Drosophila melanogaster: one gene and its partners. The protein of the gene in region 4 interacts with the protein of the main gene of each other region in a pairwise test. Each region holds a gene or a part of one and is shown on either strand. Other genes may lie near its edges.

Region 1 (7,940 bases), on a different chromosome or scaffold from region 4:
GGGCTGCTAAAAGTTTTGGCATATCGATAAAAAAAGCAAGTCCAATGATAAAATCGATAATAACTGGAGCTGTTTTCAATAGTGGGGTGACAATTTTGTGGGCGCTTAAGTGAGGATGGTAACGTTATGAAATAACATTTTACAGCGTGGCGGCCGTCACTAGAATCAGCATCTCAAATCTTTCTAGCTTTTAGAGTTCCGGGGCACTCTCTTATACGGACGGACAGACGAACATGGCCATAGCGACTCGTATAGTGATTCTGATAAGGAATACGTATACTTTATAGCTTTTGATTCGCTTTCTACCAAAGACCCTAGAATAACAAGATGCGTAACGCCATACGATTTTTTGGCACACGATTTTTTGGCCGTGGCTCTAGAGGTGGCTCCAGGCTCTCTCGAATTTTTGTTAGAGAGCGAGAGAGCGAAGAGCGCTACAGCGAACAGCTCTTTTCAACGCACAAAGTGATAGCAGACAACTGTATGTGTGCACACGTATGCTCATGCATTGTAAATTTGACAAAATATGCCCTTCACCTTAGAAGTGATCAGCGAAGACTCTTGCTCTGTCCGTGTCACTGCGAGACCAGTTTCCGGAAGAGTTACGGAGAGGTACAACCGTGTCTGTTGGTGCCTTTAGGTTCCTGTGGTCTTTCCACAACGAGTTTTTTGTTCCTGTGGGCGTGAGATTCTCGATGTACCTTAGTAGTGCGTCCGCTTTTGCGAGAATCTGCTTCTAATTATTCTTTGCGCCACGTGATCTGTGCTACTGCCACTCCCTTCGAAGTCCTCGTTTTTCAAGCACAAGCATTTCAATATTCATTCAACTTGTCTTGTTAAACTTTATCCTGCTTACATGGTTGTCTTGTGGAGTTAACGCTTTTACTGCTGCGAAAAGTATTGATTCTATATCACCAGCAAACTGATCAATGTCTTGCTCGGTTGCCAGGGGTTAAAAAAGCCGGTATGGGAACAACATATTTTTTGTACCTCGCCCAGTTGGTCCTATTGCTTGTAAGCCTACACGGTCGCTCCAAAGACACTAGAATAACAAGATGCGTAACGCCATACGATTTTTTGGCACACAATTTTTTGGCCGTGGCTCTAGAGGTGGCTCCAGGCTCTCTCGAATTTTTGTTAGAGAGCGAGAGAGCGAAGAGCGCTACAGCGAACCGCTCTTTTCTACGCATACAGTGATAGCAGACAACTTTATGTGTGCACACGTATGCTCATGCATTGTAAATTTGACAAAATATGCCCTTCACCTCAGAAGTTCTTAGACTTTAAATCTATATTATTTTTGATCAATTGGCACCATGCGAAAAATTCTTGTTTTGCATTGCCTTAACGTTATTATTATTTCAAAATAGATTAGAAATAGCCAAATCTATGTACATATTATCACAAAAATAAATTTTTATTTTTATTTTTAGAGTATTCATCTTGCGGCGTGTGAAAAATTAATAAGGCAATGATTGTTGAGTGCTTGTGTCCGCACTTCGTGCCTCAAGATATGAACAAAGCAAAGACACTAGAATAATTCTAGTTTCTTTGATATTACTTTTGCAATAAACAGTTATCATATTTAATTATTTAGTATATTTATTAAATCATTTGACTTAATATGATGTAACATTAACATTAAAAGTGTTTCAAAAAAAATATTTCGCTTTTAAAAAATTGTCAGATGAGAGACAAATTAGAATTAAACATAAATATAAATGTGTAAACGGTAGCTAATTCGAGCGGCGATTTTAACAAACAAATTTAAAAAGCTTTAAAATTATAATAGTCAGGGCGCGAATTTTTAAAAATTTTTTTATTTTATCATATTGCTAGGAAATTGGCAAAAACTACCCTAATATGTACCATGTAAATTCGTTTCTTCGATCAGAATTGATTTCGGCCCGAAAATCGTCTTCTAGCACAACACGCACACTTATACGCGTTCTCGTCTCTTGTTTTTACTCACACAAGCAAGCAAATTATATTTTTAGATTTCTTACGCTCTAAGCGGGAGTGAGCGGAAAGAGAGTAATTTTGGCCGTCACCAAAAAAGTGGCTGCATAGTGCCAAACCAATGTATGGCCGTTACGCATCTTGTTATTCTAGTGTCTTTGCTTTCTACCTCTTATAGTACATACATGCCTATGAATCTAGTATACCATTGCACTATGGGTAAAAAACCGGAAATTTTTGTATTAATGTAATATTTTTGTGATTGATATTTTAATGCTCCTTTCATTTTTTGATTTCTAAGTAACAAGATAGCATAAAAAAAATGTTTTAAACCTTTTTACGAGTTATCGTTTATTTTTGGCGCACTTTCAAAGTCAGCTGATTCAGAGGTGCTTTGAATTGCGAAAATGGTCGGAAAAAGTTGAACAAATGTGCAGCGTAAACATTGTCTTCATAGCAAATTTGGAGTTTATTTTTAATAATGGAAAAATGGAGCAACAACAAACGCGATGCAGACGCTATTAACAGTTATATTGTGGAAAATATACAAGAGAACTTTGAGACTAAAGAGCAAAAGATTACCAAATAAGCAGGCTGCAGAATAAGGGCATTCAACTCCACTTCTCGTACATGCTGCTTCATTTTCCGGAAAACAACGAAGCAGGCAGAAACGGCCTTTATATTGAAAAAAAGGGAATTGAAAACATACATAATATAAAAAAGAAAATTGAGACAAATCATTCTATTAAAATAAGTGCTGAAAACGCTTTAGCTTTCCCAATTGAACATGGATTTACAAAGTAGCAATATAATAATATAAAACCGCTCAATAAGCATAAAGGATGCGATATTTTCCATCCTTATTCAAAAGTAGCAGAAGCAAGGATGGATAACAAATATAAAAAAATTTTGACTTTTATTTCATAAAATTGGTTTTTGTATCTTGTGTCTTCACTTCGCTCCCACGCCAATCCTTCGCCCACCATCCATCTCCCTTGAAACCCGCTTTCATATGTATATAAATACATTTTTCACTTTATATTCAAGGATTTTTTTGGTGGGCGGAGATGAAGGCGTGGTCAGATCAAAAAATAAACAAAATCCGAAATTCTATTTAAATCTTAATTATAAACATAAAAAAAATCAAGTCGCTATCTTTATAATTGTAATTAATACCAAAATTCCCGGCTTTTTACCCATAGTGCATTGTACTCTACAACTAGTGGATATAAAGCTAAGAAGGTAAAATCCGTCCTCAGTAGATGGTGATTAATAGTTTTTTGTGATAGTTTTGAAACTACTTTTTTATATCGATATTTCTTAGGAAGTCTCAACCGCTCCGACGGATGTGAAAAGTACACTTACTATATAAGCCTAAAATGTGAAATTACTATTATAGTATATATTGATAATTAATATTTTAATGTGCCAAAACGTCGTGTATTTGCTGACGTTTGCTGTGGTAATCAATTCTGGTTCAGTAAACATATTCAATTCGAATTCTATGGCCGATTAGCTATGGACATCAATGAATATAATTTATACAGTAAGTTTCCTTCTCGTCAGTGACAAGCAAAGCAAGTTGAAAAAGTCTTGCCCTAATATCTATTATCAAATTCATCATATGTATGAATATGTGTAAAATGTGAAATGAGTGGCTGGCACCCTAATTTTTTCTGCTTTAGAATCAGCGAAATGGAATAAAAAATAAAATGTATATTAATGTATGTATTAAAAGAAATCGATTGAACAAAGGTTAAGAGAAAAACATAAAAGGGAAGTACGACATACGATATTTGAATAATAAACAACAATATATAAAATTAAAAGATTTCTTAATAATTAAAAATTCGCGTCCTTATCATTACTGTCTATCAATAAATCTTATAATTTGCTGACGCATTGCCATACGTAAAGTGATAGCTTATTTCGTGCAGTTTAAACAGGACAACCTTACAAAAACTTTGTCCCTTTCTTTGATAAGTTGATAATACCATATGTATCTTGCAACAGTGTAATTTTTTTCGATTCCTGCGTAAGTTACTCTTGTATTCTCAAATTTTTGCTATCGGAATGTTTAGTAAACAGTTAACAGCTGTTTAAGCTGTTTTTCAGACAATAGAGCGGCCCATTCGACAGTTTTAATTATTCACTGCAATTAAGTTATTAAATTAAATAGGATTTTTTTCGAACAACACTTTTAGTCATCCTTTTTAATTTATTAATGAATTATTTTATATTTTATAAGTATTTTTATTGCCTGTTTCGTTTCACCAACAGCCTTTGCGATAAATTTTGTCGACGTATGTATAATAAACAATTATAATAATACAACGTCGCCGCAGGAGTTTTGAAAGTATTTCATATTTTTTTAGTCTTGTAAGTTTACAATGGTTTGATATTTTAAATTTTTTCATTTAATTTTTTCCTGACAAAGTTAGCTAATTACAATAACAATGATATAAATAACAATTAAATAAAAATGATATAAGTAACATTTAACTACATAACAATTATGAGATCATCATCTCCTGGCTCTCGTCAAGGGTGACCTGTGGAGCCTTCTGGGTGGGCGACCTTTGTTTAGTGCCTTGGCTAGGATATTTCTATACCGCTCTAACGTGTCGTGGTACCGGCTAGAGTGCATGTTTATTGTCTCGAAGACAGTGGCTAGTTTGAGCTCTTTGTTGTTGTGTTCCTTACGAACCAATCGCAGCCGGTAATCATCCTGGCGATTCTGCTTTGGGGAGCCTGAATACGACGGATTTGGCTGTCGCAGGCCAAGCCCCAGATTTGATAGCTGTACCTCCATATTGGAGCTATAATTTGCTTGTAAATTATCACCTTGTTGGATAGTGACAATTTACTTCGCGAATTTATAAGCCAAAAATGGTGCACGCATACGCATGCTTCGAGAAGGTGAGTCTCCTATCCAGGATTTTTTTTTTAAAATTAATTTATTTATCAAGGCATACGGGGAAATCTTGGAGCCCCTTTGTGTCCTTCTTTTCTATTAATTCAGCCCATTTGGGCGCGTCGGCTAACTATAGTTAGCTTTTTCAAGTCTACAGTAATTTTACTACAATTACATAACAATCACATATAACAAATAGGATTTAAGATAAGCGTCAGCTTCTGCTGACCCTTGTCAAAGGAGATCGGGAAATGAGATCCTCGGTTACCTTCTATTGAGCTTCCTTGGTGGGCGAGGTCTGCTTAGAGCGCTAGCCAGCCGATTTCTGTGGCGCCCCAAGCTGTCATGGTATCTACTCGAGTGCTGCTTTATCTCGTCAAATACCGTTGCGACTTTCAGATCTCTGTGCAGGGTGTTGTTTCGCACAAACCACTCGCAGCCGGTGATGAGTCTTGCGACCTTATTTTGGATAGCCTGGATCCTTTTGATTTGGCTGTCGCATACCAAGCCCCAGATTTGCCACCAATACTTCCAGTTTGGTGCTAAGATCTGTTTGTAAATTGTCAGCTTGTTGGATAGCGACAATTTACTGCGCGAACAAAGTAGCCAATAGTGCTTCGCCACCTTAGCACGTAGGCGCGTTCCGATGCCGGTCACATGCTTGGCATATGTGAGTCTGCAATCCAGAAGCACTCCAAGGTACTTTGCTGCGTTCGGCTGTGGTACGGGGGCTTCCTCGATGTAGACGGGCGGTGGCGTTCTCCGTTAAAGTATAGCAGACGTTGTTGGATTTACTGCTATTGATGCCAATGTTCCAACGTCTTGCCCATTCCGAGAACCGGTCTGCAAAGTCCTGGATACCATCGGCTGCGTCGTGCTCGCATCGGGACCTGTAGGTGACGCACACGTCATCACGCCAACATTGATTTTCCGTAAAGGCTTACATCCGGCTGCGGCATGTCGTGGCTATACAGGCAGTAGAGCAGGGGGCCGAGGACACTACCTTGTGGAACACCAGCTGCCACTTTGTGCTCGGTGGAAATTGCTTAATGAAAGCGCACAGCGAACCTCCTTCCTTCCAGGTACGACTTTAGCAATCCCAAATATGGAGCAGGCAGCGTCTGCTTGATTTTTAGTTGAAGTCCAATATGCCACACTCGATCAAACGCTTCTCGAATGAAGAGGCTGTTACAATATTCCTTACTGTCGTAGGCAGTCAGAATTTTCTCGACGACCCGAGGGAGCTGCTCGACAGTACAGTGGCCAGCACGAAAACCGAACTGGTGCTCAGGGGTAATCCCCCGGGCTTCCATAATCCTTACAATCCGGACAGCAATCAGTCTCTCAAACACCTTAGAAATTGAAGGGAGGAGACTGATCAGCCGGTAGGAGGCGGGCTCCCTTTCCGGCTTGCCAGGCTTGTGGCTTGTGAGCACACATTCGCTGATTTGTCACCATTGATACCATGTTCCAGCGCCTTGCCCATTTCGCAAATGTTGATGCAAAGTCCTGGATGCCATCAGGAGCATCTTGTTCGAAGCAGGACCTGTAGGTGACACACACGTCATCTGCAAATGTTTCCATCATTGACGTCCCGGGTAGGCTGGCGTCTGACAGCGGCATGTCATAGCTGTACAAACAGTAAAGCAGAGTCCCAAGTACATTTTCCTGTTGTACTCCGGCTGCCACATCATGCTTATTTGAGAGAGACGAATGAAATCGAACTGCAAACCTTCTCTTTTCGAGTTTTATTTCTCCTGGCCGATTTCTACCGATATACAAAAAACAATTTGCCCATGCCTCAACACTGTCATGCCCACAGTTTTTTACTATTTGTTATTTTGTAATTTAGTTGAGTAACGGGTACATGATAGTCGGGATACCCGACTATAGCATTTTCTTATATTCCTGTAATATTTTTAAGATTAATAATATTTTATTCTTTAAGACAAATGACGCCATGTTTATTTTCAGACGATTTATCGCTGTTGGGAGAAGTGACTGAAAATAACTACGACAATAATATTGTACACGACATTCTGAACTCATCAGCATTCTACAATGATACATCGTTAGATCTAAGTGAATTAATACCTGATCTTCAAAAAGAAGCCTTTGGATTGCATTTCTCGTCAAACCCAATAACTTCAGAATTTAGCTTGAGTTCCCCGATTTCTGGTTTGAAACAAATTCCTTCAGCGTGTTCTGGTGAATTTAAAAGAAATGTAAATGACAATAATTTTCAATTGGATCTTACCAACAGTAGAAATGATTTACCTGAGCCTAATTCGTCTCCCACAAGAAGCTTAAATCGTTCAAATGTAAATGGATGTTCTAACGAAGAGGCGGTCTATCCACTCTTAGTCGATTCAGATAAGTTTGATCCATTTTTTGAACCTGCTAAAGTTCGGAGCCCCAACAAAGAATTCAACAGCACGATTTCTAATCTATCAGATATAAAAAACGAACTTCCGGAAACTTCCCAAGACTTGGGTTTTAATTCATATAACACTTCAAGGAATAATTCAACTTTAACCAAAAGCTGGCCAATAAATACTGAGCTGAATCTAGATAATCAAGTTCCAAAAACAGTTTTACCTTTGTCAAGGACAATTTATTTACCTTCACATGATTACAAAGGGCTTTTGCCAACAGTGAAATGTAACGGTGATAGAACCTTAAAGAAAAATGTTAATGTCAGGTCTAAGATTTCTAATATCGTTATTAAGAAAAAAAATGCAACTTTTATACAATCATTGAAAGAAAGCACTCCATCACATACAATGGATGATAAGATCTACAAAAAATATCAACGTATGATTAAGAACCGAGAGTCTGCTTCCTTATCACGCAAAAAAAGAAAGGAGTATGTTGTTTCATTAGAGACTCGAATAAATAAACTTGAAAAAGAATGCGATTCCCTAAAAGCTGTAAGTACTCTCTTTCAGTTTAAATAATAAACTTACCTATTTTTACTTGTCATTCGAAAGCAAATTTGGTAATTTAATCTCATTCCTTCTTAACATAATAAGTAGGTTACTTATTCTTAATTAGCCTTCCAATTTTC
Region 2 (6,264 bases), on a different chromosome or scaffold from region 4:
ACCGGCAGTTGGGACTACACCATACGGGTGTGGGCCTAAGCCATGTGGCACCTTATTGTTGGGGGATGCATTTGTCCAGGACAGATGCCGTCTCGCTTTGTTTTCCCTCTCTTCTGATTTGTTTTTTTTTTTTTTTTTTGTGTTGTGCATCGCATCTCTAGGATAGTTAAGTTACGGATTCGGTGATCCCCCAAGTGTGTACATATGTCTCATGTCGGGATTGCCAGCATGGATGTCTTGGTTACCGCAGTGTTATGCTTACTACCAGCTGCTGTACCAAATTGAATCTAAATATATACATGTATATGCATCCAAGTGTAACCAATATGCGACTAGTTATAAGTTCCTGTTCGAAATAAATGTTGAGCTATAGACAAACTGGCTTCTTTGTGCGCCCATTTGAAAGTCCATGTTGGAGTAACGTGTATCAGAACATTTATTGTACATACGTGGTTTGTCCTAGTCGGAAGCAAGGTCTTGGCTTAAAACTAGCTAAACTAACAGATATAACAGCTTACACACGACTTCTACTGATATGTAGGTACTAATTTTTGAGACACAGAAATGGAAGGCTTCATCACTTAAATTAAAAAAGAACATTTGCGGCCTTAGATTGGAAAATGTCTAATACTATTTACAGATATATATATATATGTGAAAAGTTGGAACGAAAGAGTCGGGTGTCCATAAACATTGATAAGCTATCTATAAAATCTAGAACAGTGAACATTGTTTGTGGTGTATCTTGAATATCTTGAGTTATATGGAAATAGAGCTTAAGGCGACAGGAGGTTTCCACTCAGTTCGGTCAGTAGGTGAAAAGCATCTCGATGGGTTCCGCCTCGGCACCCTCCGTCGCATTTACGGACGCCTGGAGCTTGTGCGCTCGCATATGAGCGGATAGACCTGCCGCCTGGGCATAGGCATTACCGCAGATCTTGCACTTGAACTTCTTGATGCCCAAATGCAGATGCTTGTGGTGATAGAGCGCCTTCGGGCGGGAGAAGGCCGAATCACATTTGTCGCACTTGTAGGGCTTCTCGGTGGAATGCATGGCCTGGTGCTCGTTGAGCAGCGACTTGGAGGCAAAGCGGCGGGCACAGGTCTGGCACTGGAAGGGTTTCTCGCCCGTATGCGTGCGCCGGTGGACGATCAACGCCTCCCGGTAGCGGGATCTATAGCCGCACAGCTCGCACACGTAGTTCCGCTCCTCGCTGTGGACCCGCCGATGCGAGGTGAGGTTGTGCTGGTTGACAAACGACTTGCCGCAGTTCTCGTGCTCACACTTGAATGTCCTGGCGCCGGAGTGACCCTGCACATGGCGAAGAAGGGATCGCGAGCTTTTGAACACCTTGTCGCATAGCTGGCAGGCGAACTCCGTGTGCTCCTTGCGACGATGCTGGGCCAATGCTCGGTCCACATCGAAGGTGGCTTTGCAGTCGACGCACTTGAAGGCCTGCGGAAACGGATGGCTCATCTTTAGGTGGGTGTTTAGGTATTTCTGCGTCGTGTACCTCCTGTCGCAGTGTGGGCAGTTGTAGTCCTTTGGTTGGCGCTGCTTCTGCAGGGAAAAAACATATTCAGATATTGGATTTCCTTCTTCAAGTGCACGTACTACAGTTTTTCTACCTTAAAAACAGACTGGTGCTCCTCCCCGTCCTCATCCGGTTGATAGTCTTGCGGATTTTCCACGCCCAACAGAGCCTCCAGAGCGCACCCCTCGTTGACGGATGCGGAGGAACTGTCATGATCCGGCTGCCACATCGTATCGATGGTCTCCTCGTCCACGGACTGTTTACCCCCGAGCACCATGATGCGTAGTGGATTGCCCTCGTCCTGTTCCAGTCCCAGCTCCTGTTCCGCGTCCTCCTCCTCCGACAGAACATCCTCGTTGGGCAGGTACTCTTTCTTGAAGCTGTCCACAGCCAATGGTTCTGCGCTGACCCCTTGGAACTCCTGTTCCTCTCGTGCTAGTCTGCCCAGTCCCGTGACCGTCTTGGTGAGCGGTCGGCCCTGCTTGTCGAAGTGCACATTACGGATATGGCGGGCGAAGTCCTCGAATCCAAAGTGCTTCATGTCGCAGAGCAGGCAGACCAGTTGGAATCTATTCGCCTCCGGTTCGTAGAAGATCTCGCCGCATTTGGGACGCAACTGCTGCTGGGCGTGCAGGCGGACGTAGTCGACGTTGGCGAGGCAGTGTCTCAACATTTTCTGATTCTTATTTACATTAAAATTGTTGCAATATTATTTACCAAAATTAAAATAAAATATGTAAACAAAATTTCGATCGACTTCGATAGACATTTAGTGCAGACTCAAACCAGCACTGATTTCACAGCCATTCAGCTATGTTTCAAACCAAACTAACCGTTTGACCGAATAAACTACAAAATAAATTTTAAGTTCAAAATTAATTATATTTGATCTATGTATATTAAATAGCTAAGCAATATGCTCCTCTCAAGTGTTACCAATTTGTTACCAGACTCTTAGAAAGTGATACTGCCTGTTTTATTTATAAGGCACTTCAGTTGAAATAACGAATCGGTTACCCGGTTTTTTTAAATTTGAATATGACACAAAAATAAAATGTTAATTACTCCACTGAATTTTATGCAGTGTTAAACTCGCGCCGATGAAAAACACTTGAAACCACTCTTTTGATCTGCAGATCCTTCAGATCCGTGGTTTCGGTGGCTCGCTGGTTCCTCTGGCGGTGAATCCGCTTGTGTTGGGCGTAGCCCGCCGCCTGAGCGAACGACTTGTCGCACTGGGAGCACTTGAAGCGCTTCCCATCCTCGTGGAGCGTCCGGTGATGGTACAGGGCCCGCGAACTGGAGAAACCCACGTTGCAGTCGGTGCAAATGTGCCGCTGGCGTCGCTCGCCGGCGTCCAAGTGCCGCTCCAAGTGGCTTTTCAGCTGATAGCTGGCCGGGAAACGCGCCTGGCATTGCTGGCAACTGAAGGGCATTTCGCCGGTGTGTCGCCGACGATGGATCTGCAGATTCCAATAGATGCGCGTCCGATAGCCGCAGAACTCGCACATAAGTCGCCGATTATCGGAGCTGGCAGCTGGACGTTCCGCCGACATGGTCGGTCCGCGTGTGCCAAATCTAATCGTCGGCACTATTGTTAGACGCACCCCATCCAATACCATCTTGGCATTTGGCCGCTTTAGCAGCAGTCGACCGATTAATTGCTGTCAAAGGTACCAAATCGCTTGGCTAATTTTAAACGCGGGCTCTCTTTTGCGAATCAAATTCATGTTATGTATATTTATCAATACAAAAAAGTTAACCATTCGAATACTAGCCACATCCGGTTGCCGAGATTACGGCGTTCGATTTGGTTCTTGGAAGCATTGTGTGCTTAATGTATAGTTTAAACCTTAACAAAGTTTAGTTATTATTTGAGTTGGTAGTTTAGAAAATTCATGGAAATGTAGTTTAGTCTTAGTACTTACAATCGAGCCAATTAAATTTGCCTCAAACTAAGTTCACTCGAAACAGATTAACAAACTTTCAGTTTATCTAAAACTAGGGATATTATTTACAGTGCGTGTCAAATAAATTCGATGGAAACCCGTGAAACGAGGACCGAAGAGTCACATGATACCCGCTCCATGCCGGAGCAATGCAAAAAACCATTGATTTCTATGGTAATCCTATATATAGCCTATGCCTGAGTTCCTGAACTTAAACGTCGGAATTGGAAGATACAAAACGTACAACTTAGACTACGACCTCGGTGATCCGGATCCTATCCGTTGAGCTCGTCGTTCCGGTGCTTGCGCATATGTCCAGCGAGACCGGCGGCCTGGGCATAGGCATTCCCGCACAGCTTGCACACGAACTGCTTGGTGTCCGCGTGCAGGAACTTGTGGTGGTAGAGGCCTTTCTGTCGGGAGAAGGTCGCACCGCAAACGCTGCACACATGCGGTCGCTCCGTGGAATGCATGGCCATGTGCTCTCGCAGGCCGGAATGGGAGGGGAATCTTTTGTCGCACACTTGACACCCGAACGGCCGTTCGCCCGTGTGGCTCCTGATGTGGACGCGCAGCGTCTCCTTGTTCCGGCAGCTGTAGCCGCAGCTCTCGCAGACGAAGTTCTTTTGCTCCGTGTGCACCTTGCCGTGATTGCGCATATGACGGATGGTGAAGAAGCGCTTGCCGCAGCCGGGATGCGGGCAGGGCACGTTCCGTTCGCTGGTGTGCTTGAGCTGGTGGCGTTTCAGTTCGTGTCGCGTCTTGTAGCGCCGCCCGCAAACCACACAGGCAGCGCCGCCATGCGCCTGCACCATGTGCTCGTCCAGCAGGCGCAGGCGCGGCAATTGGGCCTCGCATTCCAGGCAGGTGAAGATGGCGGAGCCTCCTTCCTCGCCGTTGTCATGATCCCGCTTTAAATGCTGACGCAGACTGTATTTGCCATGGTAGATCTTGCCGCAGTGCTCGCACTTGTACTCCTGGGCAGCGGACTTGACGGGCGCATCCTTGGGCGGCTCGTAGTCCGCGTCCTCGCTGTCCACATCCGGCGAGAGAGTGTCTTTGTGCTGGCGCATTATGTGGCGTTCGAGGACCTTGCGGCTCTGGTAAACTTTTGTGCAGTGCGGACACGAGTGCGGAATCTTGGCAGAGTGCCTGCCTTCGCTGTCCAGATCCAGCTCCATGCCGCACTCCTCCTGCTCGGAGTCTTCCTCCTTGTAGTCCACCTTGAGGGCTCGGACTTGACGTAGAGATTCGCTGGTCAGCGACTGATGGTCCTGCCACTTGATTATGCTTCTGCCTGGCCGCTCATCTTCGTCCTCATCCTGCTTTTCCAGGACAACGCGCTCATCGTCGCTGTCCTCGTTGTGATCGCCACCAATCTCGTACCAGGCAAATGGATTCACCTGCGCCACAATGGGCACCGGCGAGTTAGGCTCCCGCTCACGATCCCGCTCCTGCTTGAGATTCGCACCGGCGTCCGTTGCCTCCGTCTTCAGCAGGCCGTTCTCGAAGTGAATGTTCTGGACGTGGAGCAGGAAGTCTCCGAACACAAAGCTCTTCATCTCGCAGAACGCACAGTCGATGCGGAAGCTGTGCAGGCTCTGGAAGTAGATCTCGCCGCACTTGGCGTTCGCCATTCCGGCGTACGTGTCCGGCTTGAGGGACTTGAGCATGATTGCGGCTCCCACCTGGCCGTTGCTCCCCAGGATTTGCTCCTTTTTTCGAATATATTCGCCGTTCTAATTGGAACGCAAACTTTTAGTCTTGGCGTCAACAGCTGTTTTTATTGGAGGTGCCACTGTGATGGTAAGCGGAAAAATAAACCGAGTTGAAACCAGTTCTTTATATGAGACATCTTTATTATTATTTCATTTACTTTTGAAATGTTAGTGACAAAAGTATCATATCTTACTATTCGCTGAAATATTTATACAAATTTCCAATATCTAGATATAATTATAGCTATTTTAAGCTTATTGGCTATTTTTTAGCCACCGTCGTCGTTTCGAACGATAGACGCAGTTATCGAAGAACGATAGCTCCGATAGGCTGCGTTGTGGCAACACGAGATTCCGGTATTGAAATTCCGAATTTCCTTGAAAGATACAACCATTGAACCGCCAGCTATGCATCCCGATCTCACGGAGCGCATTCTCCAGCATTTGGAGACCACCGACAAGGCGGACACACTGGACCTGGCCGCACTCTTTGCCGAGGATCACCAGAAGATTGTGGGCTCATTGAAGAGCATACAGGCGCATGGCGAACTAGTCACCGCGGAAACGGTCACCCACAAGAGTTTGGGCCTCACAGACGAGGGTCGCGCCGTCGTGGAGAATGGCAGTCATGAGGCACTGGTCTACGACCTAGTTCCGCCGGAGGGAATCGCCCAGGCGGCTCTAATGGCAGCCGGTGGCGCAAATGCCAAAGTGGGCTTTAGCAAAGCCATGTCGCACGGCTGGATTTTGGTGGACAAGAGCGTCACGCCGCCGCTGGTGCGCCGCAAGGTGGACACCATTACGGATGTGGTGCGCAATCAACTGCAGCAGGTGGCGCTGGGAAAGGGTGACCAGCTGCCTGCCAAGGAGGTGGCCGACTTCAAGAAACGCAAGCTCCTCCAGGAAACGACCACCAAGAGCTTCGTGCTGGCACGCGGCCCTGAATTTGCCACCACTCTCACCAAGTTGGAGACGGATCTCACGGTGGAAATGCTCGCAAATGGATTGTGGGACCAGCTCAAGTTCAAGGCCTATAACTTTGATGCGTTGGGTGCACCACCA
Region 3 (8,124 bases), on a different chromosome or scaffold from region 4:
CCTAGATCAGGCGTAGGACTAGTCCTCGTCCTCGTGCTCATCCTTTGGCAAATCCTCGTGCGCGTCCTCCGTCTCGTTCTCGTTCTCGTTCTCGTTCTCGGCCGGCTGTCTATCTGTTTGTGTCTGTGGCATGCACCCCTCTACCTGATCCCCGACTGCTCAATCGTGGCCGTCAGCCCCATGTGCCCCATCTGCCCCATTCTGGGGCATGGCATCCAGAGCCCCCTCCTCGATTCGTTTCCCAATCAGACAGCCAGCGGCATCGTTAGCAACGCAACGCAACGCAACGAAACGCGACTCTCGGAGCTCGCCTGCATTTCCAAGTTCCAAGTTTCGTTGCAACCCCGATGGTCAGCAGCTCGGACTTCCACGTCCACTCCTGCCGCCAATCCACCGACTCTAAAACCCTCACACCCCAAACCTTGCATGGTGACTCCCTTTTTAAGCCCTTTTTCATTGCCCATACGCCCTCAAGGGGGTTTTATTGCGCTAGGCATTTTTGCATATTTGAGGCATCATCGCTCATCGCTTTTGTGTGTAAGCCAACTTTCAGACATGGTCGAAGGTAAAACCAGCGGCAGGAGCAGGAAAGCAGCGAAGCAGCAGCTGAGGACGAAGAATCAGCAAAGGGCTAACCCTTGTGCCACCCATTTTCTGCATTCTCTAAGCTGCAACGTCGCCGTTGTCGCTGTTCCTGTTGCTGTTGCACTCTTCTATTTGGCGTTTTAATATGCAACATTTTTTCCCGCTGATCTCCCCGCCGGCGATGCCCCATCCCCATACTCTTTCCCCTCCCCAGTACCCATTTTACCCCTTATGTGTACGTTTGGTCACCTCCATGGTCGCAGCATTTCTCACTGAGAACAAAAAGCAGCGAGATCTCGTACCACATCACTTCTTTGGCTACATTAAAAATGTCGAATTTATTGTACTATTAAAAGGGCCTTCCTTTTTTGAAATAATTTCATAAATGCTCACTCTTTTCTTAACAATTAATACTAAGACTTTAAATTGCATTACCGCGCAGCTGAGATCAACTAAGTCAGTTACTGCATTGTAAGCTTATACATTTTGACAACCAGAAGCCTAGGTTTTCTGCCAGTGCATTCACACTCATGGCAACCGTTTTATTTGTTTGTTTGCTTGTTCGTTCACTCATGTGTGTGGGTCAGACGGCGACCTCTCACCCCCTCCGCAACTTTGTCTGTTTGGCTCAAATGTTGTCATCTTTCCCCGCACACACACTCCACCCCACAGAGCCACCGGCCCACCCATTTTTGGCCTTTCGCAGAGGCTTTCGTCGCTTTTTTGGACATCAGCATCCAGTGGATTCCATCCCACGAACCGGCGTCCACATCTCCACAGCTCCGATGTCCTTTCACGTCCGCGTCATCGTTTTGCTCGTCAGCGTCGTCGTCACCAGTTAAATACATAAATTTTCGTATAAACGCGTTCTGCAGTCGCGAGCCTAGCAGCCATTTCCCAATTTTCCATTTCCCAGCGCCCGCCCCCTTCCCTCTTTTCCACTTTATAGCGGGCAACACAACAGCAAACAACTTAGAGAATGCGTGATGCATTTTCGTGTTGCTGCGTTTGATCCAAATTCTGTTGGCTGCAATTCATTGGTTGCTATAAACACAGTGTTATCTAATTGCATATGGTTTTTAGGGGGAAAATAAGCAGAACTATCTGCAAAGGGTCCTAAGTGGTGCAAGCATTACCACATATAGTATATATAATATATATAGTATAATAGAAAAACAATCAGTTTTATTATTAATTTATCCAATACATAAAAACCATATTCAGTTACCTGAATTCATTCAAAATACTCAAAAGCCTAAAAAGCCCGAATAACTTATGAATTAATAGCACACACACTCATTAAATAGTAGAGATACAAAGTCCAAAACTATTTCAAGGGCTGGCCATTAGAGTAGGCAAAAGTATCACTTAGCGTCATTAAATCACCGGATACGAGTGAATGAAGGCATTAAAAGACTCATTCAGAGATGCCAGATGAATACTGAATATAATCCGATCGATGGATACCTGCCGATCGCGTATTTGTGCCCCTTTATCGCGATTCGCGATTCGATTCATGGCCGATGTTTATTATAATGTAACCAAAATGAAAAGCAGCCGCCATTTGCCAGTCACGAAAAAATTATGCATAATTTATGACTGGCTGTAGTGGACCCCTCTCGCCACCTCTCGCTCACTCACCTTGATATGTAGCTTCGTCCCGCTCGCACTTGCAAGAATTTATTATTTTTGCTAGATTTGTGTTTTTTTTTTATTTTATGTTTCGCATATTATAAATGCGCAAGGCAATAACAAAAATAATCATAAACACATACACGGAATCACCCACACAGAGGCAAAAAACCGAGGCTGACCAGTCTGAAACGATAGTGCCCCGCCCTCCGCCCCTTCGGCCACTCGGCACCCCCCCAAATGCCCATCACCACTACTCATGAAGAGAGCGAGAAAAACTAGTGGAAAACTGCAGGTGCAGCTGAAAGAAAGAGAAACGTCTCTTAGGCGAAAAGCGCCAGCCAACTCTCTCGCGAAAGAGAGAGAGCCAATTCGCCGCACATCTTGATTTCGCCTAAGCATTTGTTTACAATGCACGACTGGCAGCGACGTCGACTGCGAAGAGAGTTTTTCGTGATGGTTTTTCGAAGGGGGGGCTGTGTGGGGTACACCTCGAACGGAACTAATTAATGAAGCATCTTTCAGCCGAGTTTTGTTTCTCAGTCGGATGAGGTGGAATGCGTGAGGGAGAAAGAGTAATGGCTTGGGAAGAATAGAAAGAGAGAGGAATGTGCTTCGAAAGACCTAATGATCACTAATCTGCACTTCTCGCAAAATGCTCATACTACAAATGTTACAAGCAATTCATACATATGAATATCGATTTCCAATATTCTAAAAATAATTAAAATATTTTATTTAATAATTTTCAATTTTTTCAATTTTTTCACTTAAATTTAAGCTTTTAAAAGAACCCTAATAAGATATATAATATCCATCACCTAAATAATCGGCAAACTCAGCACTATTTTCGCCGCATTCCCAATTCCTGAAGACCACCTAGATGTGTTCCTCTATTTTGTGCCAGGGGTACTGGTCGATGGGGCTCGTCCACACCCTCTCCTGCCAAGCACCTCCGAAAAATATTAGGCCTAAGCTCGAATCCGCACTCGCACTCGCACTCACAATCGCAATCGCAATCGCAATCGCCGTCGCTCTCCGCTGCATTTTCGGGGCAACTTCCGTTTCCTCACGCACGCACACTTGCCACTTGCCACTTGCAGCGACGCATCCTTTTTACGCAACGGTAGTTGTGCGGCGGCAAAGCGCCAAAATTTTGGGGGTTGCAACGGCGAGAGGCCGAGAACGAGGACGAGGACGAGTTCGAGTGCGTCGAGCAGGCCGACGAAGGACGAAGGACGAAGGACGAGCGAAGCCGATTCCGATGTTGAGCTCGAGGAGAGCCAAAACGCAGCGCAGGAGCAAAGGAATGCGGTGCCGTTAGCCGGCGTTTTTTGGCGCCTACAGCTCGCCGTTTTCAGCCATTTTCAACGGGCTCGCCGCTGCTTCGGTCGTTGTCTCTGCCGTCGGTTCTCAGCCAAGCGGCGCTGCCTACGTCGCATTTTCCTTTCGCAGCGCCGGCAGAGCAGTTCGCGAACTATTCGCAACTTCGTCGCGAACTCAGTCGCAGCCTGAGAGCAACAACTACAAAGCAGTAGCAGTAGCAGTTGCTGCTGATGTTGCTGTTGCTGCCGCTTCTGCTGTTGCCGTTGCCGTTGCTGCAACATCAACGTTGCCCCTCAGCTTTCCACAGGCACAGGCACAGGCACTGCCACAGCCACAGCCACAGCCGCACATCCACATCCACATCCACGTCGTCGTGGGCCATCGTCGTCGTCGTGTGTTAAGTTTGTTTTGAGTTTTTCCGTATCAAAATGTGCAAAACGATTTCAGTCTAATTCAGACGCTCGTGCTGAGAAGACTTTTGGCCCTGTTTGTTGGCCAATACAGCCATAGAACACTGAAACCGAAACAGAAACAGAAACGGAACTGAAAGCACACACTGAATAACACTGGACACGACGACGAGAACCGAATCGAACTGAAAGAACGAGGCGGCGGGCTAATTGCCAAATGGCCACGTAGTGCGCGTAACGTAACGAATACGTTAAACACCCATACACACACGCCCAGACACACACACACACACACACACACACAGAGAGACAGAGGCACGCACACAGATACGCACATGTACATGCCCACTCTCAGTTGAGCGTCGTAATTGTCGCGGATTCTTTTGAATGCTTATTCCTTAAACGCTATGTGAAGAGCGAATCGCGTAACGAATAACGATCGCGTAACGTTTACGATCGCCGGTGATCCAACGATCAACGATCAACGATCAGCTGCAGACAAAATGGCGTCGGCGCAGGCGGAGACGAATGTCGGCTTGGCGTCCGAACAGGGACCAGTGGCTCAGAGGCAGCGCAAAGGGACGGGATCGGGCGCCGATTCGCCCAAGAGTAACAGAAGCTCGCCCACTCAGCAGGAGGAGAAGCGTATCAAAAGCGAGGATCGCACTTCACCAACTGGCGGGGCCAAGGACGAGGACAAGGAGAGTCAAGGTCATGCTGTAGCCGGAGGGGGAGGATCTTCGCCCGTCAGTTCGCCACAGGGCAGGAGTTCTTCGGTAGCCTCGCCCAGTTCCAGCTCCCAGCAATTCTGCCTGCGCTGGAACAACTATCAGACGAACCTGACCACCATCTTTGACCAGCTGCTCCAGAACGAGTGCTTCGTGGACGTGACCTTGGCATGCGATGGTCGGTCCATGAAGGCCCACAAGATGGTCCTGTCCGCCTGCTCGCCCTACTTCCAAACACTTCTGGCCGAAACGCCCTGCCAGCATCCCATTGTGATCATGCGGGACGTAAATTGGTCGGATCTCAAGGCCATTGTGGAGTTCATGTATCGCGGCGAGATCAACGTGAGCCAGGACCAGATAGGTCCTCTGCTCAGGATAGCTGAGATGTTGAAAGTGCGTGGTCTGGCGGATGTGACCCATATGGAGGCGGCCACGGCAGCAGCGGCTGCCGCTTCGTCGGAGAGAATGCCCTCCTCGCCCAAGGAGAGCACTTCAACTTCCAGAACTGAACACGACAGGGAACGGGAGGCCGAGGAGCTGCTGGCCTTCATGCAGCCCGAGAAGAAGCTACGCACTTCGGACTGGGATCCCGCTGAGCTGAGGCTCTCCCCACTGGAGCGGCAGCAGGGCAGGAATGTAAGAAAGCGCCGGTGGCCATCGGCGGACACAATATTCAATCCACCCGCACCACCCAGTCCACTGAGCAGCCTGATTGCGGCCGAAAGGATGGAGCTGGAGCAAAAGGAAAGAGAGAGACAGAGGGACTGTTCGCTGATGACACCCCCACCCAAACCACCAATGAGCAGTGGCTCCACAGTGGGAGCCACGAGGCGCCTGGAGACCGCCATCCACGCCCTGGACATGCCATCGCCGGCTGCCACGCCAGGACCTCTGTCCCGATCGTCGAGACCTCACTCGCAGAGCCCCCAGCAGCAGCAGGCACAGCAGCAGGGTCAGCTTCCTTTGCCCCTGCCCCTGCATCCGCACCATCACGCATCACCCGCCCCACATCCCTCCCAGACCGCCGGATCAGCCCACCACCCGGCATCGCCTGCTGGAGATTCCCGTTTTCCCCTCGGCCCAGCAGCCGCCATGGCCGCTGCCAGGGAACTGAGTGGCCTGGGACCAGGTCCGTCCGCCGAGCCACGCCTTCCGCCTCCACCGCCGCACCACCATGGCGGTGGTGGAGTGGGCGGCGGGGGAGTTGGAGGAGGAGGTGCAGGCGGAGTGGGTTCAGGCGGGGGATCCTCGCTCGCCGATGACTTGGAGATCAAGCCAGGGATCGCCGAGATGATCCGAGAGGAAGAAAGGGTGAGTGAATCTAAGCAACTTAAATTTCACGTTTATCTTTGTATTTCATCTTCCTTAAAGATAACTTTCGTACTTTTGTTTTCAATTATTCATATGTTGTGAATCGTTTTCTAAGTTAGTACATATGCCAGTTAAGAGAAGACTCTTCAATTCTGCAATTCCAATTCTACAAAAAGAGAGGCAGAGAGAGAGAGAGAGAGAAGCGCGCGGTGGAGCTCTCTTCTGCTGCTGCAGCGCTGTCACTGCGCTGTCGCAGCGCTGCTTCCGTCTATATCTCTCTCCCATTCATTATCCGATCTTTTGCCTCGGTTTGTTTTGATTCACGATTCGCGCGCCTTTCGGCGATCTTCAATCTTCGGCTGCGAATTCTGCCGGCGGCATTTCGCCTCGTGTCGTGACGTCACAGCGCGGAATGCGGAGCTACGGTCGCAGCGCTCTGTGGAACTCCCCACCCCACCGCCAGAGTGGCCATTGCCCGGAATGATTGACAGCATTCACGTGCTCCACGTTCCACGTTCCATTGTTTGCTCTCCTCGGCCGCTCTTTCTTCCCGCAGAGATTTGCTCCACATAGTATTTAGTACCCCTTCTCAGGTCAGATCCACCGATTCTTGGGTTCTCGGGGAGCAGGCACCGGAACGCTTCGGTGACCAAGAGGTGATTGAAATTCCTGTGGCCTGCGGTTGATTTCGATCTATGGAGCATTTTGTGACTTGTTGTGGTTCCCTAAGTGTGCTTCAATTAGGGCAACGACGGAATGGGTCTGCACAGAAAATATCTGGGGCTAAAATCGATAGATTCATTATTTGGATTTTTTATGTATTTTTCTCTTTCTGAGATTGAATCATTATGATTGCATAAAAATATATTTTAAATTTTGAAATGCTGATATTGAAAATTAAAAAAAAAATATTAAATATTGATCTTAAGATGCGCTTGCAATATACATATGAAGATATCTATAGTCCTAATGCGGCTTTGCTTCATAATTATATTTCAATAAGTTCACTCCAAACATTGTATCTGAATATTTACGACTATTAAAGTAAGCTGGTAGTTTTTGTCAGCTTAGCTTAGCGACCGGTTCGATTTGGACTGCGACTGCATTAGCACCGAGCTCACCGCAGAATTCGCACTTTAATAAAAATTTGTATTTATTTATCCAATAGACGTCGACGACGTTCACTCAAGAGCCCAGATCTCTGGCGATGGAGCTCCATTCACCATTCAGAGTCACATGCATTCGATGAGGAGTTGCCCGGTCCGGGATCAATCGGAATGCGATATTTGTTTGTCTGGGCGCAGAAGAGATCCCAGTGCGACTCCTTTTCTGGCCGGTTCTTGGCCATGTTCCATGTTCCGTGTTCCGTGTTTATTGTCGCTTTCGAGTGCATTAATCAAATAGCCAGCTATGCACACATGTGCATGTGCATTAGCCTGCTCATGTGCTCAATTTTTGAAGCCGTCTGTCTGTCGGTCTGTCGGTCTGTTTGCCTCTGATCGCCGCGGCGTTGGCTCGTTAGCGTCTCTTTTCAATAAATATTTTGTTTTTATGCTTTTTTAAATATTTTCCCAACTGACCGTTTGCTTTGCTTTTTATGTGCTTAGAAATTCTTTGGAAAATGCATCTGCATCTGCATCTGCATCTGAATCTGAATCCGCCGCGGCATCTGTATCTGCATCTTTGTTTGTTTGCCTGGGTATTAGTGTTGCCGGCCGTGTTTATGCTTTCCCGCTGTTTGCCTTTTCGATTGTTCTCCTCATTTCCCCATCACCGTCATATATTTCCCAACGTTTATTCACACATTTCATTTATTATTAAAAACTGATGCATTTTTCGTTGCTTCGCGGCAATCGCAGCAAGGCAACGCCACAGATACACCCGAAAAAAATGTGCAAACCTTTGTAATTTCGATATATACAAAATATGAGTATGAAATTCTGCCTAGCCAATGAGCATTATGTTTTGAAATTATAACTCCATTGTTTAGCACACATGAAAATATATCCACGTTCATTTCGATACAGGTATTCACTTTTCCACGTGTAAAAGTCAAATATTGATGGGCTGCATCCTCGGCCAGCGATTCACCAGCTTCTTTAATATTTATAATTCCTTCCATTTATATTTAT
Region 4 (8,164 bases):
GCACTTTTCGCAACAAAGGACGAAACACCCAAGTCCAGTGAAGCGGAATCTTTAATTATCAATGGAATCGATTCAGCCGCTGATCTGCTTCCCAAAAAGGCTTACATATCTTCCGAAATCAAGCATGTAAGTTTAAATTTATATATAAGCCATGATGAGTGAACGTAAACTAATACCTTCCATTGAACAGGTGGTTGATGAACGAACTCCTTTGCCCATGCCGAAGGTACCTCAAATTCAAAAATACCTCAACTCCGCCGTGGAGCCTACTGTTATGCGCCACGATGGCAAAATGAAAATGCCCGGCGAGGCAGTCCGCAATCCGTCGTCTTCGCATATCCCACGACGCGCCAATCACAGCCTGGCTGATCTGTCGCTCGCCTCAGGCGACGTGTCCTTATACACAATAAGAGATGCCCAAAAGTTTTAAGGCCCATAAAAGTACTTCACGCTCCTTGACTAAATATTGCAACGATAATAAATGTATTGTGTAACTAGTGCTAGTAAATGCCTTCGTTTTCGTTTGATAGTATCAATGCTTGCATCATCACTTAACTCGCGCCTGCGGTCCCTTCCACGCTCGATTAACCTTGGACTCTGAGGTTCTGCCCAGTTCGGTGCAGATGTACCGCCCCACTTGGATCAGTTTGTCTAGGTTGACGCCAGTATCGAGGCCCATGCCGTGCAGTAAGTAGACCACATCCTCGGTGGCTGCGTTGCCTGACGCCCCCTTGGCGTAAGGACATCCGCCCAAGCCAGAAACGGAAGAGTCCACCACCCGAATGCCATAGTCCAGTGAGACCAGTATGTTGCTCAGAGCCTGACCATAAGTGTCGTGGCAGTGCACGGCCAGATCTTTAGCCGGGACGACCTTGGTCACCTCATCCAGCATTCGGCGCATTGTGCCTGGAGTGCCCACACCAATGGTGTCGCCCAATGAGATCTCATAGCAGCCCATTTGGTACAGGGCTTCCACCACTTTGACGACAGCACTCGGCGCAACAGCACCCTCGTACGGGCAGCCAACCACGGTGGAAACGTAGCCCCGGACGCGCACACCATGCTTTTGGGCTGCTTTCAGCACAGGTTTAAATCGTTCGATGGCCTCAGCTGCCGTGCAATTAACGTTCTTCAGCGAAAACGCATCAGATGCGGCTCCAAAGACTGCCACCTCCTCGGCTCCCGCCTCCAGAGCACTCTCGAATCCCTTCAGATTAGGCGTGAGGACTGGATAGCTTATACCAGTCACTTTGCGGATTCCTTTCAGCACTTCGGCATTGTCGCCCATCTGTGGCACCCATTTGGCGCTCACAAAGCTGGTGGCTTCTATGGTTCGCAGTCCTGTTTCGGACAATTGGTTGATCAGCTCGATCTTGGTGGCTGCCGGCAGGAGTTTGGGCTCGTTTTGAAGACCATCCCGCGGTCCAACCTCCACAATTCGCACCTGATTGGCCGCGCTTGTAACCGCCGTGCGCTGTTAGTTTTAAAATTATTAAAATATTGTCAAGTGCGTTCGATTTTCCGTGAAATTACCTTTGCTGTAAGTGCAAGGATAGAGCGAATTGGTGCACTTATCATTGCTAAATTTGTAAATAAACGTTACGTATTCCGCTTCTTCTTTTTTCGCTGATAACAGCTGATAATGATCCAAGATCGATATGTTGCTAAATTTCGATAACTGTTTTGCTTAATGAGCTGCCATCTCTAGCGCAGAGGCGTAAACACATTTTTTGTATACAAACGGGTATTTGGTGCTAATTCTTTGTAATGGAAATAGCAGAGATATCTGCAGAAGATGAGGATGTGTTTCACTTTGAGACCGAGCACCTGGCCCTGCGTGGCAACCAGTGCTATACCAATTTGCTGCGCACTTTGGCCGTGCTGCAGGCACAAAGGATTCGGGTGCATCAGCAGATTGAGGAATTGGAAGCCACACAAAATATCTACTTGGAGAATCCGCAACATATGCTGGACAAACTGCGAAACAACGAGCCTTTGATAGCGGATAATTACATCACCACGACCGTTCTACCGGACTTGCCAACTCTGTCGCCCAATGACGAGGAAGGGGGCACAAATGAGACACCGACCGATGCGTCTTCATGGACGCAAGAGGCGAACAAGAATCGGGACAGGAGCAATGGACGGTCGGAGAATTTCAATCGCTTGTGGACCAACGAAGAGCAGAGTCGCTTGGAGCAGCTGCTCATCCAGTATCCGCCAGAGGAAGTGGAAATGCGCAGATTCGGGAAGATAGCGAAGGCCTTGGGCAACAGAACGGCACAGCAAGTGTATAGTCGTGTCCAGAAGTATTTCCAAAAGCTGCACGATGCCGGAATGCCTGTGCCCGGTCGCATACCCAAGCATCGACGTCCTGGTTTGAGTAAGCCGAAGATCAAACTTCGCAAGTCAACCTTCTTCCCCGCTCATAATATATCGCTACAAATGCCAGAGGACGATTTCACATTTGACGACCTGCGAATCCCATCGCCTGCGAGCGATATGCTCCTTATGCCGGCATCCAAGATCGAACCAAAGATCGAATCCGAGTACATGGATGCCGATCTGAATGCGGAGTCAAAGCGAAAACAGGAACTATGCCTTAAGCTTCTATCAGCCATTCAGGACGAGAAACGGGAAATGGAGGACGGATATGAGCCAGACTTGCTGGCCGCCAAGTGTGCCGAGTGCGAAGAGGCATCTGTGACCAGGACCCAATGGCGTTGTAACAGTTGTTATTGTTACCTTAATCTGTGCGGAGATTGCCTGGCCAGTCAGCTAATCGAAGGGCGTTTCGAGCATTTAAGTCATGAAGTTGTAGTGGACCAAGAGTCATGACGCTCCTAGAGTCCCATTTACTTGAGTACTAAATTACTAGACTTGCCTGTAAAGCTACAAATTAAATATAAAGAGAATAATTTTAAAAAATTCTATTTTATTTATAAAAACTTAATATTAAATGGTATAAAAGAGAGGCCCTCTTAATTGCGCAATTGGGCAGATGATTTCGGCAGAGATTGAATACGCTGGCGACGCTTTGCTTCGAACTCCGTAGCCAGCTGCCATGTTTCTTTGTCCAACGTATCCTTCCCCCGGGCGATGCCCAGCAGCCGTGAGAGGACCAGCAATCCATGCAGATCATCGGCATTACTTTTGACATTAGCTTTACGCATGTCCACGAAATCCTGCTGGATCATTTCAGTGTGCTCCTCGCTCACGTTGAAGCCGCTAGTGCGCGCTGTGGTCAAGTACTTGCGAAACTGCTGCAGACGTGATGGCTGCAGATAGTGGTGGGCTGCCTTTAGAGATTCATCAACAAGTTCCACGGCCTTAGAATCGGCATTAATGGGCAGCACAAAATCGCTCTGAAAACATATCATTAATAGTTTCTATTGGATATAATGATTATTTATATAAACTTATATTCTTACCGGCAACATACTTCGCCCTTCACTGAGCACGAGAACTGGAATATTTGCTTGGTAGTCTATTTGGTAATACTGAAAGTCGCACTTCAGTTCCTGATTATTGATCAAGTGCGCTAAATGCTGAACGGCATGAACACCATTGGCCTCCAGCTTGCCCTGTTGCATGCACGTCTCGTCGAGCACCAAATGCGTATGGGGAGCCAACTGTAGTACGCCGGAAACCAGCTTGTTTGTCTCATAATCCTTCCTGCAAGTACTCATTAATAGGTATTCAATTTTATACTATTTCTGCTTAGCCAACTTACTTTGGGGCAAAGGCTGCCGTGTTTAGTGTGACGAGAGTCATGGGCATGTAATGGCTGGCCGGCAGTAGCAGCTCCAGAATTTGATACAACTTGGTTGCATACGCCTCACAATTCTTAGGGAGATTACAAAGGTTAAGGGCGAACTTGCCGATGCTCTGCATCTCAGAACGACTGTAGACCGTAGATATTAGGTGGGAGAGCAAATACTCGGCAGCCAGATCGTCATCAAAGAGGCAGAGTTTAAGAAGCATGCGCAGATCTTTGTGCACAGCAAGGTGGGTTGGATACGTCTCCTCACATATTTCCGTTGGCTGTCGAAGGCTTTTGTCCAGCAGCGGATTGGCATGCGGCAGCACCTGGACTCCGAAGGCATGCAGGCGGGGTATAAGAAATGGCGATGGATGAGCTGCCTGCAGTTCACTCAAGTTTTCACAATCGTCTATTTCCAGGGTAGCGGCGTCTAGTGAAGCATCCACTGACAGAAAGCCCACAAAGTCGACCAGCGAGTTAAGCTGGTAGGTATCGAACTCCTCGTAAACCTTTACCATGCATGCCATGCTGGGACGATCCGGCAGAGGCGAGTTAATCAGGTAATCAGACCCAAGAACAGAGGATTTGGAGGCGCCGACTGGCTCGCTATCTTTTTGAATCTCTTTTAGGCAGGGTCGCTTGAACGTTGTTTCGCTCGCAACGTCCACATCCATGGCTTCTTCTTCGCCTACAATAGTCCGCTTCTTGGCTGAACTGGGAGATTGACCCAGACTGGCCAAATCGATCTGGGGACAGCACAGCTTCTCATGCTCCTTGCTCCAATCGTTCAGACCAGGCACAGAGACCACGAACATGGTACGCCTCTCTCCATGCACGTTTCCATCGGCGTTGTAGTCAATCACTTCGCCATTGGCTATTTTCAAGCAGTCCCTGTACTTTCCTTCCTGTACACGTTTGCTGCCGTCGGCGGATTTCACTTCGTAGCGCTCCAGATAGATTTCTGGGTCCATCATGTCCTGGATCATTCCACGAAAGCGCACCAGAGTCTGATCCTTCAGCTTGTGAAGAGGCGTGTAGTTGAGCAGGGGAATCGAGTGCCAACGACTGGGATCCTTGAGCAAGTCCTTGAGTGCAGCGCTGTCCGCTTGCTGGGCGGCCAGTTCATCGGGCGTGCTGGGCAGCTCCATCGCACAGGGCATTATCTAGTTAACGAATGAATTTGCAAATGCCTCAAAAACCTCGAATGCAAAAAACAACAGCTGCTTTGGCGCGCCAAAAACTGATTGCAGCATATTAGTGATGGTCATCGATGGGCCTATCGATATCTGCCAGGGATGTCGAACTCTGCCGCAGAACGGATGTAGAGGCGGATGTGGACATCCGCAAAAAATGTACAATTTGAGAATTACCAAAGAATTGCAGCGATGAGCAAGAAGAAAAGCAATGTGTGGCAGTACTTCTACAAGACATCCGGCACAGTGGCCACCTGTCTGCTGTGCAACAGGAACTACTCGAGGCGAGGACGCGGCACAACATGTCTGCGGAATCATCTGAAGAGCAAGCACCCACCGGAGTTCCTATCTCTATCCGGGGACATAAAGTACCTGGACCTGGTTAAGAGCGAGATCTCCATCGGTTCGCCACAGCACCCCACAGCCCAGCTAGAATTGAATCTGCACGTAAGTGGGATAGCATATAGATGTGCATACATACCTATGTACATGCATATGTACTGTGCAAGAAGTGTACCTTATGTGAAATCGGGGTACATGCCCTTCTAGATATTCTGTCATGTGGAGATGGTTTCCCCAAACTTAAGTTTCCATTCAAATATAGTTTCTTTGGTAGTTCATAAAGTAATTTATGCCTTCTCTTATTTAAAACTTTTTACTAATATAGCAACAGCGGATGCGGATTTTTATCCGCGTTTGGCTAGATCGGCAAACATGTGTTGTGTTTATAAAGTGTAGTTAAGGAGGTTTTAAAAATGTACTGTTATGGTCTTAGTATTATATTTTTATAAATTATGCGTTTTTCACTAATCTGATGCATTAAATTATTCTATTAATCATTTTAGGAAACAGATTCAGATCCATTGGACACCGAGGATATATCCTACAGCAAACGCTGTGATGAGAAGTTGGCCCTCATGCTACTAAATCACTCCTTTGAGTTCATTGAAGGACCAGGATTCGTAAATTTCATTAGGACGCTGCAGCCGCGGTACACGATTCAACCAAGGAGCTACTATGAGAAGATACTGTGCGAGGATATACAAAGGAAAATGCATCAGCATTTGAAGCAACAGGTGGATCTGCTGGATGCCATATCGTTGTCTACGAGTCTCTGGCGTGGTGACAAAGGCGAAGGACTGCTGAGCTTGTCCTGCTCCGGAATATCAAGGGATTTTCAGACTCACCGCCTAATGCTGAAATGCGAGGCTCTGAATTACGAAAGCACTTCGAAGCTAGCTTGTTGCATTCGAGATCTTGTGCCCAGCTTGGCCATTGAGGTGCCCAAAGAGAAGATACACTGCGTAATCAGGGACGAGATGACGGCGCTGCCAGGTTCCCTGCCCGATTGCAGTGTGCACCGCCTGCAGATGTGCGTTCGATTTGCTTTGCAATCGAACGAATTACTGCAGAACCTTTCATCCAAGTGCAAGCAAATAGTTGACCATTTTGCGTCGTCTAAGATGGCCAACGATCATCTGAAATTCATTCAAGAGATCCGCTTGACGCGAGACCCGTGCACACTTACACCTTACGATCCCTGTCAATGGAATTCCGCTTTTCAGATGATGAGCAGCGTGTTTCGAATGAAAGATGCTCTATCCTTGTACTGCGAAGAGTATAGTCTGGTCCAAATATATCCAGATGAATGGATAGAGATCGATTTGTGCAGCAAAGTAATGCAGCCTTGTGAAGAAACAATCAAGATATGGAGCAATCCATCTACGACCACCTCATCCGTAATCCCGCTGGTTGCCGCTTTACGGGATTCCCTCCGAACAGATGTCCATAACTTTGTCTCATCTGTGGTAAGTTGCAGTAGATAAAACCATAAAGTATTGTCTAATATTTCGAATGTCTAGACTATATGCAGTTTCGCCAGAAAGTTGCTTGAAGAACTGGAAATGAAGTTCGCCCACATCACTAGCGACATCAACTTTTTGATGGCCACATATTTGGATCCGAGATATAAGCAAGCATTTTTCACCGAACGTGAGGAGCAGTTGGTGGCCAATGAAGTTCTGCTTCAGCTCGCTGGAGTGCCAGAGGATTGCAATGGTCAGCCACCGCTGAAAATAATCAAAGTGTCATCCACATCGTCCCAGAAGAATGAATCAAAGATCGATAGCATTCTGGATAGCATACTGACAACTGGAACGACGAACACTCAACAGCCAAATACGTCAATGGGCTCCCAGTCTCAGATTAAGAATCTGCTATATCTATACAACTCCGAACCCAGAATCGATAGGAACATGGATCCCCTGATTTGGTGGAGGAGCAACATAAAATACATATCCTTGTATGGCATTGTTAGGAAATTCTTATCAGCACCAGCAGCAAGTGTGGTTAGTGAAGGCTTATTTAGAAAATCAACGCACTTGTATTTCGACATGCAGGCGGGCTTGAGCCCCGAAAGTGCATCCAAAATGTTGCTCATGAAGGCCAACTTTAGCTTTAGCAATTCGGAAATCAATTAGGATACAGTAATTTATATAATTTAAACGTATTTATGTACATAATATTAGCTTTAATCTTACAACTACTTGATTTTCCGGAAAATTAGATTTTGCACTTAAGCCGCGTGTATGGCTGATTGCCTGATGGGTCCTAGCCCCTGTAATCAGGATCATTGTGTTCCTCTTCGTCTTCCTCCTCCTCCTCTTCTTCATCTAAATTAAAAACATGTTTTTCATAATGTTGATTCTAAATAAAATGAAAGCTATGAAATTCTTACCATGATCTCGACGTTTACGTGTGTAGGCTCGTTTGCTGGCGACGGGCGCTTGATCAGTTTCGCCATGTAGCAAGGAATTGCGATATAATATCAGCGGCTGCCATTCCTCAGCTCGGCTGGATGGCATTGCGGGTGGTATTATCTTGTCCAGAAAGCTCATTATGACCTTCTTGTCTTGCTTCAGTAGCTTGTAGTTGAACTCGTTCAAAACCTCCAGGAAGAGCAAGCGAGTTGGAGCCCGCACCGGATCATCTGGCTCCTTGTTCGCAGCGAAATAAATGCCACCACGATGAATGGCGGCCACAGATTCGCGATTCTTGATGGCATCGAAACCAAATGTGAGCGCAAATCGCTTGGCCAACTCCTTGAGGTCCACAAACTCTTGCGAACTCTTTGAAACTATGCCATCCTCACTCTGCTCCTGCAGACTCTTAAAGACTGTGATCAGGCTCAAAAGGAGCGTCATAGCGA

What was found.
Region 1: the proteins of CG13775 (region 4) and Atf6 interact in a two-hybrid assay, tested with the Drosophila melanogaster proteins (one large-scale study listed by BioGRID).
Region 2: the proteins of CG13775 (region 4) and CG15336 interact in a two-hybrid assay, tested with the Drosophila melanogaster proteins (one large-scale study listed by BioGRID).
Region 3: the proteins of CG13775 (region 4) and bab1 interact in a two-hybrid assay, tested with the Drosophila melanogaster proteins (one large-scale study listed by BioGRID).

What each region holds. Positions count from the first base shown.
Region 1 is NT_033778.4:5,141,354-5,149,293, forward strand, and holds the start of Atf6 (Atf6), read left to right. Parts: upstream 1-3,379; 5' UTR 3,380-3,477; coding exon 3,478-3,505; intron 3,506-5,812; exon of another isoform or gene 5,813-6,825; coding exon of another isoform or gene 6,826-6,847; coding exon 6,848-7,803; intron 7,804-7,940.
Region 2 is NC_004354.4:8,144,842-8,151,105, reverse strand, and holds CG15336 (uncharacterized protein), read right to left. Parts: upstream 3,158-6,264; 5' UTR 3,092-3,157; coding exon 2,612-3,091; 3' UTR 2,401-2,611; downstream 1-2,400. Other genes in the region: Gbeta5 (G protein beta subunit 5), read left to right, coding at 1-39; CG10959 (uncharacterized protein), read right to left, coding at 809-1,561, 1,630-2,208; CG2129 (uncharacterized protein), read right to left, coding at 3,760-5,157; alpha-PheRS (Phenylalanyl-tRNA synthetase, alpha-subunit), read left to right, coding at 5,611-6,264.
Region 3 is NT_037436.4:1,096,969-1,105,092, reverse strand, and holds the start of bab1 (bric a brac 1), read left to right. Parts: upstream 1-4,003; 5' UTR 4,004-4,456; coding exon 4,457-5,992; intron 5,993-8,124. UniProt on the Drosophila melanogaster protein: Probably acts as a transcriptional regulator. Required for the specification of the tarsal segment. Also involved in antenna development.
Region 4 is NT_033779.5:6,953,857-6,962,020, reverse strand, and holds CG13775 (uncharacterized protein), read left to right. Parts: upstream 1-5,070; 5' UTR 5,071-5,148; coding exon 5,149-5,403; intron 5,404-5,677; exon of another isoform or gene 5,678-5,713; intron 5,714-5,801; coding exon 5,802-6,764; intron 6,765-6,818; coding exon 6,819-7,436; 3' UTR 7,437-7,566; coding exon of another isoform or gene 7,567-7,628; 3' UTR 7,629-7,664; downstream 7,665-8,164. Other genes in the region: sip2 (septin interacting protein 2), read left to right, coding at 1-126, 191-430; Hmgcl (3-Hydroxymethyl-3-methylglutaryl-CoA lyase), read right to left, coding at 548-1,474, 1,534-1,578; Atac1 (Ada2a-containing complex component 1), read left to right, coding at 1,768-2,838; CG3430 (uncharacterized protein), read right to left, coding at 2,982-3,365, 3,432-3,675, 3,734-4,923; SA1 (stromalin 1), read right to left, coding at 7,567-7,628, 7,694-8,164.